Linked DNA regions of Cricetulus griseus. The protein of the gene in region 2 interacts with the protein of the main gene of each other region in a biochemical or structural test. Links are inferred from orthologs where the notes say so. Each region holds a gene or a part of one and is shown on either strand. Other genes may lie near its edges.

What was found. The genes of interacting proteins can lie anywhere in the genome.
Region 1: the proteins of Lrrk1 (region 2) and Abl1 form a complex in vitro, tested with the Homo sapiens proteins (2 studies listed by BioGRID and IntAct, with this or other methods). The link is inferred for Cricetulus griseus from reciprocal best matches to the Homo sapiens genes LRRK1 and ABL1.
Region 3: the proteins of Lrrk1 (region 2) and Foxp1 form a complex in vitro, tested with the Homo sapiens proteins (2 studies listed by BioGRID and IntAct, with this or other methods). The link is inferred for Cricetulus griseus from reciprocal best matches to the Homo sapiens genes LRRK1 and FOXP1.

Annotation. Positions count from the first base shown.
Region 1 is NC_048599.1:143,411,973-143,416,015, reverse strand, and holds the start of Abl1 (tyrosine-protein kinase ABL1), read right to left. Parts: upstream 2,801-4,043; 5' UTR 1,511-2,800; coding exon 1,375-1,510; intron 1-1,374. UniProt on the Homo sapiens protein: Non-receptor tyrosine-protein kinase that plays a role in many key processes linked to cell growth and survival such as cytoskeleton remodeling in response to extracellular stimuli, cell motility and adhesion, receptor endocytosis, autophagy, DNA damage response and apoptosis.
Region 2 is NC_048596.1:131,004,885-131,008,396, forward strand, and holds part of Lrrk1 (leucine-rich repeat serine/threonine-protein kinase 1), read left to right. Parts: intron 1-84; coding exon 85-279; intron 280-1,138; coding exon 1,139-1,290; intron 1,291-1,498; coding exon 1,499-1,616; intron 1,617-3,311; coding exon 3,312-3,428; intron 3,429-3,512.
Region 3 is NC_048601.1:44,450,566-44,454,626, reverse strand, and holds the start of Foxp1 (forkhead box protein P1), read right to left. Parts: upstream 2,801-4,061; 5' UTR 2,645-2,800; intron 827-2,644; 5' UTR 717-826; intron 1-716. UniProt on the Homo sapiens protein: Transcriptional repressor. Can act with CTBP1 to synergistically repress transcription but CTPBP1 is not essential. Plays an important role in the specification and differentiation of lung epithelium.

The sequences.
Region 1 (4,043 bases), on a different chromosome or scaffold from region 2:
TGCTCTTACAGAGGACCCAGGTTCAATTCCCAGTATCTACACTGTGGCTCATGACCATCTGTAACTCCAGTTCCAGGGGATCCAACATCCTCTCCTGACCTCTGTAGGTATCAGGCACGAACATGGTGCACATACACACACCCAGGCAAAATACTGACACACATAAAACAAACTAAACCTTAAAAAAAGAAAACTTCAATTATCAAATATAAGTTCACCCAAAAGCAGCCATTGTTTATAGTAGTCACCTATTGTTAAAACGTATTTATGACTGAATTTCAAAGTATACGAGGCATTTGCATAGGCTACACTTGCTTATATGGCATGATGGTTCAATTGGTATTTTGATATTAAGTATACAGTTTGAAAAATGACACTGCCACAGTACAACCAGGACGGTAATTTACTAGCTCCTGGATGGCCTCTGCAACACGTTAGTCTAACCTGACCTTAACTATTAGCCAACAACAAGACATGTACTGTCAGCCTTATGAACAAATTAGGTTCATAAAAATGTCAAAGCCAACTAAGCAGGAAGAGATGAGGGTGAAGAAAGCTCCATCAATGAGGACAGGGTTATTCCTTAAAGTAACAGAACAGTCCTCAGTTCAGGGGCACACTGTTTCCACACTCAACTTTCCCTACCTTGCTCCAAAGTGAGAATTTTCAAGTCCTGCTTATAATTGAGAAAATCAAAAGATAGCATCAATTAGGTTCTATTAGAACCTTTCAATACACAAATCACTTTGAGGATACGATACAAGTGCTCCATAGACGGGCAGTAAAAAAAAAAAATCCATGCTTACCAGGTGGTGGTGGCACACACCTTTAGCCCCAGCACTCAGAAGCAGAGGCAGGCAGATCTCTGTGAGTTCAAGGCCAGCCTGGTCTACAAAGTGTGTTCCAGGATGGCCAGGGCTGTTACAATGGGAAACCCTGTCTTGAAAAACCACCAACCCCCCCCCCAAAAAAAAACAAACAAACAAACAAAAAAACCAAAAAACAAAAACAAAAAAAACCATGCATAACAGTAGACTCCCAACTTTTAGCGAGAGCAGATGGGAAGAACTATGAATACTTCAAAAGCACCTAAGTCCCCTCCCCTCCCTCACGAATGCAGGCCCCCAAACAGTAAAAGGACTTGTCCCATGTCAACAATGAACCTGAAGTGGGATGTGGCTAGAAACAGCAACTCAAGCAGACTGAATAGTCATAATTTTCTTATGCAAAGAACTGCTCCACCAGAAAAAGAAACTAGTAACTACAGTAGCAAAAACGCTAAGCAGATACAGCAGGAACCGACACAAGCATTGTTTCATAAAGTCCTTTGATGTTTAAGGAAAAACAATGATCAGAAACCTGGAAAGCACTCACCATGTTCCACGAACACGTTGCAGTGTGGACCCCCATGCCGCGATGAGTCCCTCTTCCCTGCCCCTTTGATAAAATGAAGGGCAGGCAAACTAGGCCTTCTTTGGTCCCCAAGAACTTTTCCAGGCTGCTGCCCCATAAAGCAATGATAAGCACCCCTTTCCAGAAGAGGGTTTAAGATCTTCCAGAATGGTCCCCTCAGTAGGAAACAGAATGTACCCAGAACTTCACAACACTGACTCCACGGCAGTAACTGGGGTCAGTCACAGAAAGTCAACTTCCATGAGAAAGGGAAACTGGATTTGAGGTTCACACATGTAAACAGGAGTCTGGAATTCTTTTCCAAGTTAATTAATTTGAAGTCATGTCATCGCAACGCTACCCAAAAGCTTCTTGACTCCGTCTATTTTGCGGATTGAGGAACGTTTCTTTGCAAGGGGCGAATTTTAGATAGAAATATTCATTGGGGAGTCTGAAAAGGGTCAACAGTACTAAAAGTCATTTCAACTCCCCAGCATGCTGGAGACGTTGAACGTCTTTGACGCTTCTCTGCAACTTTTCCTGTGGAAGTCACCAATCCCCTATCTGTCTCTCTCTCCAACAAATTTCCTGCCGCTCTCTTCCCTATCCTGTTCTCCGGAAAATGACTCGGGTCACACAGATCTCAACCAGAGCTTGCTCTCCACACTGTCGAAAAGGAATGCATGGCCAGCAACTTTTTTAAGTCCGCTTTTTAAAAGGCCTGTGAAACCAATCCAGACTTTTTCTTTGCATTAAAGTTTTGGGCTGCACTGAGACCAATGGGGCTGTAGGTGACATTGGAAGAAGTCAGGACATCGGAGGCCGGCGGAAGCAATCTGGGAGGACCGTGGAGATCTCTTGACAGCAGAGAGATTTGAATGAGGGGCTCCGTGGTCAAACTTGGGGTGGGAATCGAGCGAAGGGCGGCCTCGGGGTGAGACAGAGACTTCCCCAGGTGGGGCGCGGGCGGCTTACTCGGGGGCGACGTTCCTCCTCGCCTCAGGAAACTGAGTGTCCCAGGTAGGTTGAAACTGAGACCACCCTGGGTGTCCCAGAGCCAGAGCAGAGCTGTGAGGGACGAAGGTCTCCCGCGGTCCCGAAACGGGAGGCGGCCACGGGAGGAGGCCCGGCGCCTCAGCTGCGCCGAGCCAGGGGTCTACCCGAGACACCCCTCCCCCGGCCCCGGACTCTGCCGCCGCCGCCGCCAAGCAGTCACATCCCCGGCTCTGCCGAGGGACCGGGCTTCTTCAGCCAGAGGGGGGTGTGCCGCGGAAGGGCTCCTCAAACGCAGGACGCTGCAACCGGCTCCGGCTCCAGCGCCTCTCAGGGATAGACACCGACCCCCGAGGCCGCCATGATGGATTACGAGCCGCACCACAACGAGGCCAGGCCCCGCCCCCCGACCCCGCCCCCAACGACGCCAGAACACCCTGCGCGAGGTCGGCCTGGCCGCCGCCGCCGCTGTCCTACGTGCCGCAGCACTTTCGGGGTCTCGCCTCACTGCCCGCGACAGGCCGGCTCCGCACGACCTCTTAAAGATAGGTTTTCTGAGCTCAAGGTGAGCGATGAGGAAGCGCCCGCCTCCTCTGCATTATCACTGGTCTTCCTACGACTGGAGTCTGTCCCCTCACCGCCGTCCAATTGGCCAGTGAGGACGAGAGGGGCCAGCTAATTGTGTTTGGTGCTGCCGCAGTGCATGTTGGGACTTGTGGTCCTGGCGCCCATGGGCTGCTCGCTGAGGCCCCAGCCTCCAGCTCCTATAGCTAGAGAGCTGGTCCCGCCTCCTGGGAGCCGGTGGACTCCGGTCAGCCAACGTCTTCACTGCTTGAGTAGCAAGACCGCGGGAGATTCAGAGCCAGGGGAAAACTATGGATTGGAGTTTTCCAGAACCGGAGTTGGATTACTTCTTTGAGCCTCGTTAGGGGAGAAACTTTTGGTTCGCTCCTAGATACCAACGTGACCGGTTCGTTACATCCTCATCACTCGGGAAAGGCATAAATATGGGAATCTGTGAAGAAGAACTGAGGAAGCAAGCAAGCATCGACGATTCTTTGTGATAGGAAGAAGTCGAAGAAACATTGTTCAGAGTATGCCAGGCGTGATCGTGCATTCGTGCACGTTTGCACTAGTATGAATCCTTACCATGATAGTCCACAGTGAGACATACATTCCCGTAAAATTCGAAGTTAGGCGAAAATTGTCCAGGTTATCCGATCTCAAAAGCCTGTGAAACTACCCCACACCTGTGAAAGTTCATCCTCTGCCCCGCCCCCCACCCCCAGTCTTCACTGTTCCTGAACCTATTTCTTACTTTTTGGGTTTTCGAGACATGTTTTTTCTGTATTGCCCTGGCTGTCCTGGAATTCACTCTGTAGACCAGGCTAGCCTCAACCTCAGAGATCCACCTGCCTCTGCCTTCCAAAAGAGTGCTGGAATTAAAGGCGTGTGCCACCACCTGCTGGGCACCTGGACCTATTTCTCATAGCACTTACAATCTGAACTTTTATATAAAATGCTTTACCCCAATCTTTTCACCCATCAAGGTATGAATAAAATACTGTTCCCACTACACAGGTGGAAAAGCATTCATAGACGTGATTGAAGTGTCAGGTCTCTGCCTGATATTAGGGAATACTGCAGTGATGTATGTC
Region 2 (3,512 bases):
TCCTGTTCCTTCCCCCTCAGGGCCAGCCTTCTGAGGTTGCTGGACCCAGGCAGGAAACCTAACTCGGCTTGCCTTTCTGACCAGGTAGATATGTTCTCCTATGGAATGGTTCTGTATGAGTTGCTGTCAGGACAGCGTCCTGCGCTGGGACACCACCAACTTCAGATTGCCAAGAAGCTGTCCAAGGGCATCCGCCCAGTTCTGGGGCAACCAGAGGAAGTGCAGTTCCATCGACTCCAGGCGCTCATGATGGAGTGCTGGGACACAAAGCCGGAGAAGGTACATGGAACAGAGTGGAGCCTGAGCCCTTCTTCCCCAGTGGTAGGGGCTGTGGGTCTCCAAAGCACACCTGTGCTGCTCACCCACCCTCCCTAAGGACAGCTGGGCAATCTTCTCTGTTTGTCTCTCCTAGAGGGAGCTTTAGTTTCCCTAATGTATCTCCCAGTCTTGGTGTGTATACATACATGTGTGCCTACATGTCTGTCTGTCCTTCTGAGGAAATGTTACCCTTTTATTCCCAGCTTGTGTACTTGGGACCAGAAGTATTTCAAGTCTTAGAGTTTTCCAGATTTTTAGAATATTATTTATGTGCTAGTTGAACATCCCCAATCCAAAAATCCAAACTCTAAAATACTCCTGAATCTGGAACTTTTTGAGTATCACTCAATTTGTATATTAAACCCATTGTGGCAATATAGTCCCCACGAAAGAACAGGGGGAAGGCATGCTTTGGAAGTTTTGCTTGTGAGAAGCAGGGACCCTGTTACATTATCAAAGATAGCTCCTTGTTCGTCAGAAGAGGCCCCTACGATCAAGCTTAGTACATTTGTCCATCAGATCAGATAGTTCATGTAATGCATTACAAATACAATATGAGACAAAAGTTCATGTCCCTGGGATTAAGGTGTGACACAACGGGCCTTTGTCTCCAGACCAACTGATCTTATTACTGTGGCCATGATGACCTAGAGACTATGAATGGCCTTTATTTTTTGGAGGGGGAGGGTGTTCTGAAGCCTTTTCAGTCTTGTGTTAGGCTAACCCTAGTGGAAAGATTCTCATATGCCCATGGCTGGTGCCAGTGGCCCTATGTAGCGAAACTGCACAGCAGTGCTCACTAGGGACCTCTCTCCTGCAGCGCCCACTAGCCCTGTCTGTCGTGAGCCAGATGAAGGACCCAACCTTCGCCACCTTCATGTACATGCTGCCCTGTGGAAAGCAGTCAGCCTTCTTTTCATCCCAGGGCCAGGAGTACACTGTGGTGTTCTGGGATGGGAAGGAGGAGTCCAGGTAATGTCTCCGGTCTATCCTTCCCTGCTTATGTCTTGGGTGGCACTGGGAACAGAAGAGCAATGATGCTGATGGCACACATGATTTAGCAGACAGCGGAGTCCAAAGCCTGGTTAGAGCACACCTCTTCTAAGGCCACTGCACCAGCCTGGGGAAGGAGGTGGCCGCTGGCTATCTGGAACTGACCACAAGTTGTTGCCAACCACAGGAATTACACAGTGGTCAACACAGAGAAGGGCCTTCTGGAAGTACAGAGGATGGCCTGTGCTGGGATGAAGCTGAGCTGCCAGCTCAAGGTCCAGAGCTCAGTGTGGATAGCCAGCGAGGTAACTGCCAGCCCGCAGGGCCCCTGGCAGGGTGGGCTTTGGAGGGGTCCAGTTCCCAGGGGGACCAGGTTTGTAAAAACTACAAGGTTTCCAGGTCAACTTGATTATCGGGTAACCCCAGCTTGTCCCTGAGAATCCCTAGAGCAATGCCATCAGTACTGTGAGGTAGGTCACCAGGAGAGCTGCTAGACTGCTACTGAGTGGTGCTTGCCACCAGCCGGGAGCTAGGATTCAGGGTGGTGAGGGCAGGTGGATAATCTCAGCAGGAGAAACTTGATGGGGGATGTCCTTCTATATGCTGTGAATCTATGCTTCTCTTATTGGCTGATGAATAAAGCTGTTTTTGGCCAATGGACAGGCAGGACATAGCCAGGCAGGAAGTATAGGTGGGGCTACCAGATTAGGAGAATTCTAGGAAGAGGAATGCAAGGAGTGGGTGGAGAGGGTGATGCCATGTAACCACTGGGAAAGTAGGGTGCCTGGACATTCTCCGGTATGCCAAGACCATGTGGAGTTACATAGATTAACAGAAATGGGTTAGTAGTTAAGAAAGAGCTAGCCAATAAGAAGCCTTAGCCTACTGCCAAATAGTTTATAATTTTTTTTTTTAAAAAAGGAGAATGCTGTGAGATCAGAGAGAAGGAGCAAGCCACAGCCACACCTTACCCCCTTAGCCTCTCAGCAGACAAGAGAGCAAGTTCCTGTTTCTGCCGGCCGATATCCTCTCTCTACCCAGCCATCTCACTTCCTGTCTGTCTATACAAACCTCTGTGATTAGCTGGTGGCAAGCTCCATTCTCTGACCTTCAGATAGGCTTTATTTGTACAAGCAAGATATCACCACAGAAACTGGGTGTATTGGTGGTGCCACAGAGCACAGATCATCCCTGAAAACCTTTTGGCTCCATATCCAGAAGTCATTGGAAGACCTGAGTAGCTGTCTTGTGAGAAATCCAAAGACTGCCCCAAACTACATGCTCTGGGATTATGATCATCCAAGTCCATCTACATTACATAACTGTTTGGAAATATGGCTATGTGTGAGATTCTCCAAAAGTACCCATGCTACTGAGACCTCAAGAATAAAGAATTTGTTCTCAGAGAATACACAAAGAGAGATCTCTAAGAATAGCCTACCTCAATGTAATTCTTAGTAGCGACAACAAATTCACTAAAAGTAATGGGCAGGGGAGTTGACCCCCTTATCGACTGTAAAAGGAGTGAAAGGGCTCTGCCTATGGCACAGTGTCACTGTCCAGTGACCCCACTCTATTAGTAGAATGCTCATGTACACCCACAACAATTTTCTGAGATGCTCTGTCCCCCCATCCTAAGGACTACCAGTTCATTTTCTTCCAGACTATTCTGTATTTCTCAAAGTTTCTACAAAAAGCAGAAATTACTGGGCAGTGGTGGTGCACACCTTTCATCCCAGAACTCAGGAGGCAGAGGCAGGGGGATCTCTGTGAGTCTGAGGTCAGCCTGGTCTGCAGAGAGAGTTCCAGGCAGCCAGGGGTACACAAAGAAACCCTGTTTCAAATGAACAAACAAATGAACAAACAAACAGAAATGAATAACCAAACAAAATGCTGCCTTTTTAAGGTACAAAGGGGTTCCCCAGGCAGAAAGCATCCTAATAGGGCATGCCAGTCACTTCCCTCTCTGGCTCTTATAGCAGGCTTGTCTCCTTTTGCAGGACCAGAAAATCTATATCTACAGTCTTAAAGGCATGTGCCCATTGAGCATGCCCCAGAAGGCCCTGGACACCCCGGCTGTTGTCACTTGCTTCTTAGCAGTGCCTGTTATTAAAAAGGTAAGGTGGGAGAGAAGGATGCTCAGGACCTGTGTGGGAGGCCCTACTTTCTGGGGACAGTGATTTGAGCTGGGGACAGTGGAG
Region 3 (4,061 bases), on a different chromosome or scaffold from region 2:
CATTTTCAGGAACAGAAAAAAATTCCTTAGATATCCTTGGGTGTTTTTCTCAGCTTAGCTATTTTGTAAGTTCTTCCAGGCTATGGCCCAAGGAAGGTGAAGTGCATAGGGCTCCCAAAATGTTCCCGCAGCCTTCTTGCTTAAAGAGGAGAGACAGAATAAGAAATCTGATCCTGGAAAATACCTGGAGCCTGCCGTGAGAGCAATCCTGAGCCCTCAGCAGTGTGCTGAAGAAGCTCAAATGAAGTGTTCATATTAATTTCATTATTCTACTTAAACCACCCAGATGAAGGGGCTGGTGGGGGGGGGGACAGAAAAAGGAAGGAATAAGTTTCATTTTGGGTCCTCTAGTCAAGCAATAAGAAAATAAATTAAGATGAAAGCGTAGGATGAGCCTAGCCTAAATCAATACACTGAAATCAGCCCAGCTAGAGTATTGGACACAATGGCTTGGAAATAATTAATAGTTATAAGGGGGGAGCGGGCTGAGAGCAAGGGATGTCACCATTTTACACTTCACATTCCACGCTAACTTTGATATCGGATTCAGGGAAGAAAGTGATAGAAAAGGGAGAAAGCAGGTCCCAGCCTGATGGACACATTCCTTGCTCCCCGTGGCTGGTCACAGCGATCTGGTTGCCCAGGCTGGTTGGTACAGCGCCTCGGCTTCCCCGCTTCCCCCCGCCCGCACGCCTGCCACGGCCGCCTCGACTTACCCACCGAGTCTGGGGAGGAGGCGCCGGCAGCTCCACGCTTCTCCGCGCCGCCGCTGCCCCTCGCCCGTTCGCCCGCCGCGCGCCGTCCTCCTGGGGCAAACTTTCGGGGTCTGTGACCGACAAGAGACCGGGACGACCCTCAGCAAGTCTTCCTTCCGTGAAGGTTTCGGGGTGGGGGGGATCGAAGGGGACGAGGTGATTAGGCGGAAGGGGGCGAGACCAGAGATAGAGGAGGCAACCTCCAAGCGCTCGGGGACAGGGGAGGAGGATGCGCGGCCGGGAATCCCTGCAGGGATCCGGAGACCCGGAGCGCGGCCTGAGCCTTAGTCTCAGCACCTTCCCGGGATCTTACAAAGTTGCAACAACAAAAAAGGAGGGGCAGAACCGGGGGAAAGGGGTGGGATAGGGCTGCGATGGCAGGCGCAAGGTTTGGAGTTACAACTGTTTATTTAGTCCTTAAGGCTCCCAGGGGGCGGGAGCTGCGCGGGAATGGGGGTGCTGCAGGCAGCAATTTCCAAGCAAACACGGAGGGGGGGGGGGCATGCGACTTTGTTTCTGGGCTCGGAGCTCCCTGGCGCCCGTGTGTGTCACCGCCAGTCTCCGGGGACTGAGGCGGAGCTCACAACAGGTGGGGAGGGGGACAAGGAATCAAAGTTTCCGAGAGCGGCGGGAGGGGGGGGAGCGCGGGAGGCGGGGGCGAGGGAAGGCGGAGGCAGCAGATGACCACGACCCTGCGGCAGCTGGCAAACTCCTCGGCTCCCGGCGCCGCCGCCACCGCCTCGGTCCCCACCCGAAGCGCGCGCCGCCTCGTCTCGTCGGCTCCGGAGAGACGTCTCCGGGGGACAAGAACCGAGTGCCGAGAGCACGGGAGGAAAGCTGCGCACAGGCGAGAAACGGAGAGCCATCGGTGGCCGGGACAGGGCCGGAGGGACGCGGTGGCACGCGCGTGTAGCAGGACAGATCCCTGAGCTTAAGAGGCGCAGGAGTCAGAAGCGAAAGTGTATGGTGGCGGGGGATCCAAAGTACGGGCGCCGAGGGTCCTCGAGACGTGCCCTGTCCCCATGCCCACCCGCGATTCGGCTACGGCTGCCGCGGGCGCCGTCTCTGACAAGCGGGGGCCGAACGCGCGTGGGGTGCGTGTCTGGCAGAGGGTGCGCGGGTGTGTGTATGAGTTTTCTGGGCTCCCAGGGGTTAGCTAGAGAGCATCCACACGGCTGAGTTCGGACCAAAACACGCGTGGCTACAGGGATGTCGCCAAGCACCGGGCCCAGGGCGCAGGCGTCCCTGCTCAGCCCTCCAGCATTCGCCGGGCAGCCCGGGGTACAGAAGGGGCACGCACCCTTGGATAGCAGGGGAAAAGTTTGCTCCAAGTTCAAACTTTGAGCTCGGGAGAGGATGCCGCACGCCCCCGCCAACCGCGGCCGGGTTCCGGGTACCCGTACCAGGCGGCCACCAAACGCTGACGCTGGGCACTCAAAGTTGCGACAGGCGGCCTGGGCTTATTGATCGCTGTACCCGAGCGGTGTGAGCGAGCGCAGGGGCGCGAGGGGCCAAGGGGGAGACGAGCTTGTCCGTGCGGTCACCACCGCACCCCACAGTGACTTATGCAAATGAACCCAAGGGTGCGGGCGCCTCCCGCGCTTCCTCCAAACCGGCGCCCGCGCGCGGCCCCCACCCACGCAGATCCTGGGCCCCGATTCGGGAGCGAGTCAAGAACAGAGGGTTGGGGGAGATGCACGTGGAGCCTGGAGATGAAAAGTAGGAAATTTTTTCTGTATCTTTTTTTTCTTTTTTTTTTTCCTTTTTTTTTTTTTTTTTTTTTTTTTTTTTTGGTGCTGGTTGTTGTTGTTGTTTAAAGTGGCGGAAACAAGGCAGGAGGCGGCTTGGGGAAAAAAAAGTGGAGCAGAAATGGAAAAATACGAACTCACCCGCGGCAAATGGTCTCTCGGTGCAAACTAAGGTGTTTTCGGGGCCTTTCCCCGCGCGCGCCCACTCCCGCCCGCGCGCGCGCCCCCCGCTCACACACTCACGCGCGCACACACGCACTCGCGGGCGAGGGCCGGGCCGCGAGCACAGCGTGCAGCTGCCACACAATAAATAACAATAGATTCCTCCGCTTGGGACTCGTTCCCGAGTCGCGCCAGCGTTGCAGCCGCGAGGCGCCCCCAACCCGCCCCAGCCCCCAGCCGGGTCCAAACCCCGCCATGCTCACTCCCGAGGCCCCCGCGACCCCCCGAGAGCGACCTACACCTCTCTACGCCGCCCTTGGGTCGCCTGCCCCCTCCCCGCGGCATCCCGGAACAAATAAATAAATAAGGCGCGCGCGAGAGGCCATCGCGTCGCGGAGGGAGATGTTGTTATTTTTTGCTGTTGTGCGTCTCTGACGTCACATCCACCTGCTGGGTAAACAACAGGGCTCGCAGAAGAAAAAAAAAAAAAAAAAAGAATCGCAATTGCCAAGTGAGGGACGTGGGGAGGGGAAGAGGAGAGGGAGGCAGAGCCCCGAAACCCGGGACGGGAACGCCACAACAGTTCCCAGGCAAAGGGAGACTGGATTGAAAGAGCTGGAAAATGAGGGGCCTGGGGGGTGAAGGGGTCCCCTCAGGAGAAGAGGAGAGGGACCCATGCAGACCCAGGGAAATGGAGAGGAGGAGTGTCAGCAACTAGGGACGCAGAGGGGAATGCCAGGGAGGTTCCGCTAAGATCTGAGCTCCAAAATCCAGGAGGGGAGAGGACAGGCGGAGATGGAGTTTCCTCCAGTTAAAAGTGAAAGTGCTTCGCCTGGGTGACAGTTGGAGCGGAGGGCGGCAGGGGCGGCGTTCCAGCCCCACGCCTGCTCTCGGGTCCTCCCTCGGTCTCTCCCCTTTCCTTCTGCACTTTGTCCAATGAAAGAAGGCGAGTTCGGAAGGTGAAAGTTCAGCTGAAGGACAAACCCCTGATTGCAAGGAAACAGAAACCCCTCCAGCCAGGGGGATTTTCCCCTGCATCGCGGAATCGGGAGAGAGTGATGAGAGCAAGAACTTACTCCCTCAGGCCTTGTCAGTCTCTGCAGGAATGTTGTCCCTGTCGCCAGGTCCACTTGGGGGGAAAGTGGCTGCAAGGAGAACTGTGTTTTCGCCACGGTTCCTCTTAAGAAAACACCCGGGGGCTAGCATGTCAATCACTTGTTTAACACAAATTACCTGCTCTCTCGAACATCAGTCACGTGAGAAAAAAGCTTTGTGCAATTCTTTGGGAAGGTGAGATTTTTTTTTCTTTTTGCTGTAATGAAGTTTGTTTGAGTGTGTGAATTTAAATAAGTACCCAAACGAGCCCAGATGAAATGTTTTTGAAATATAAATAAAA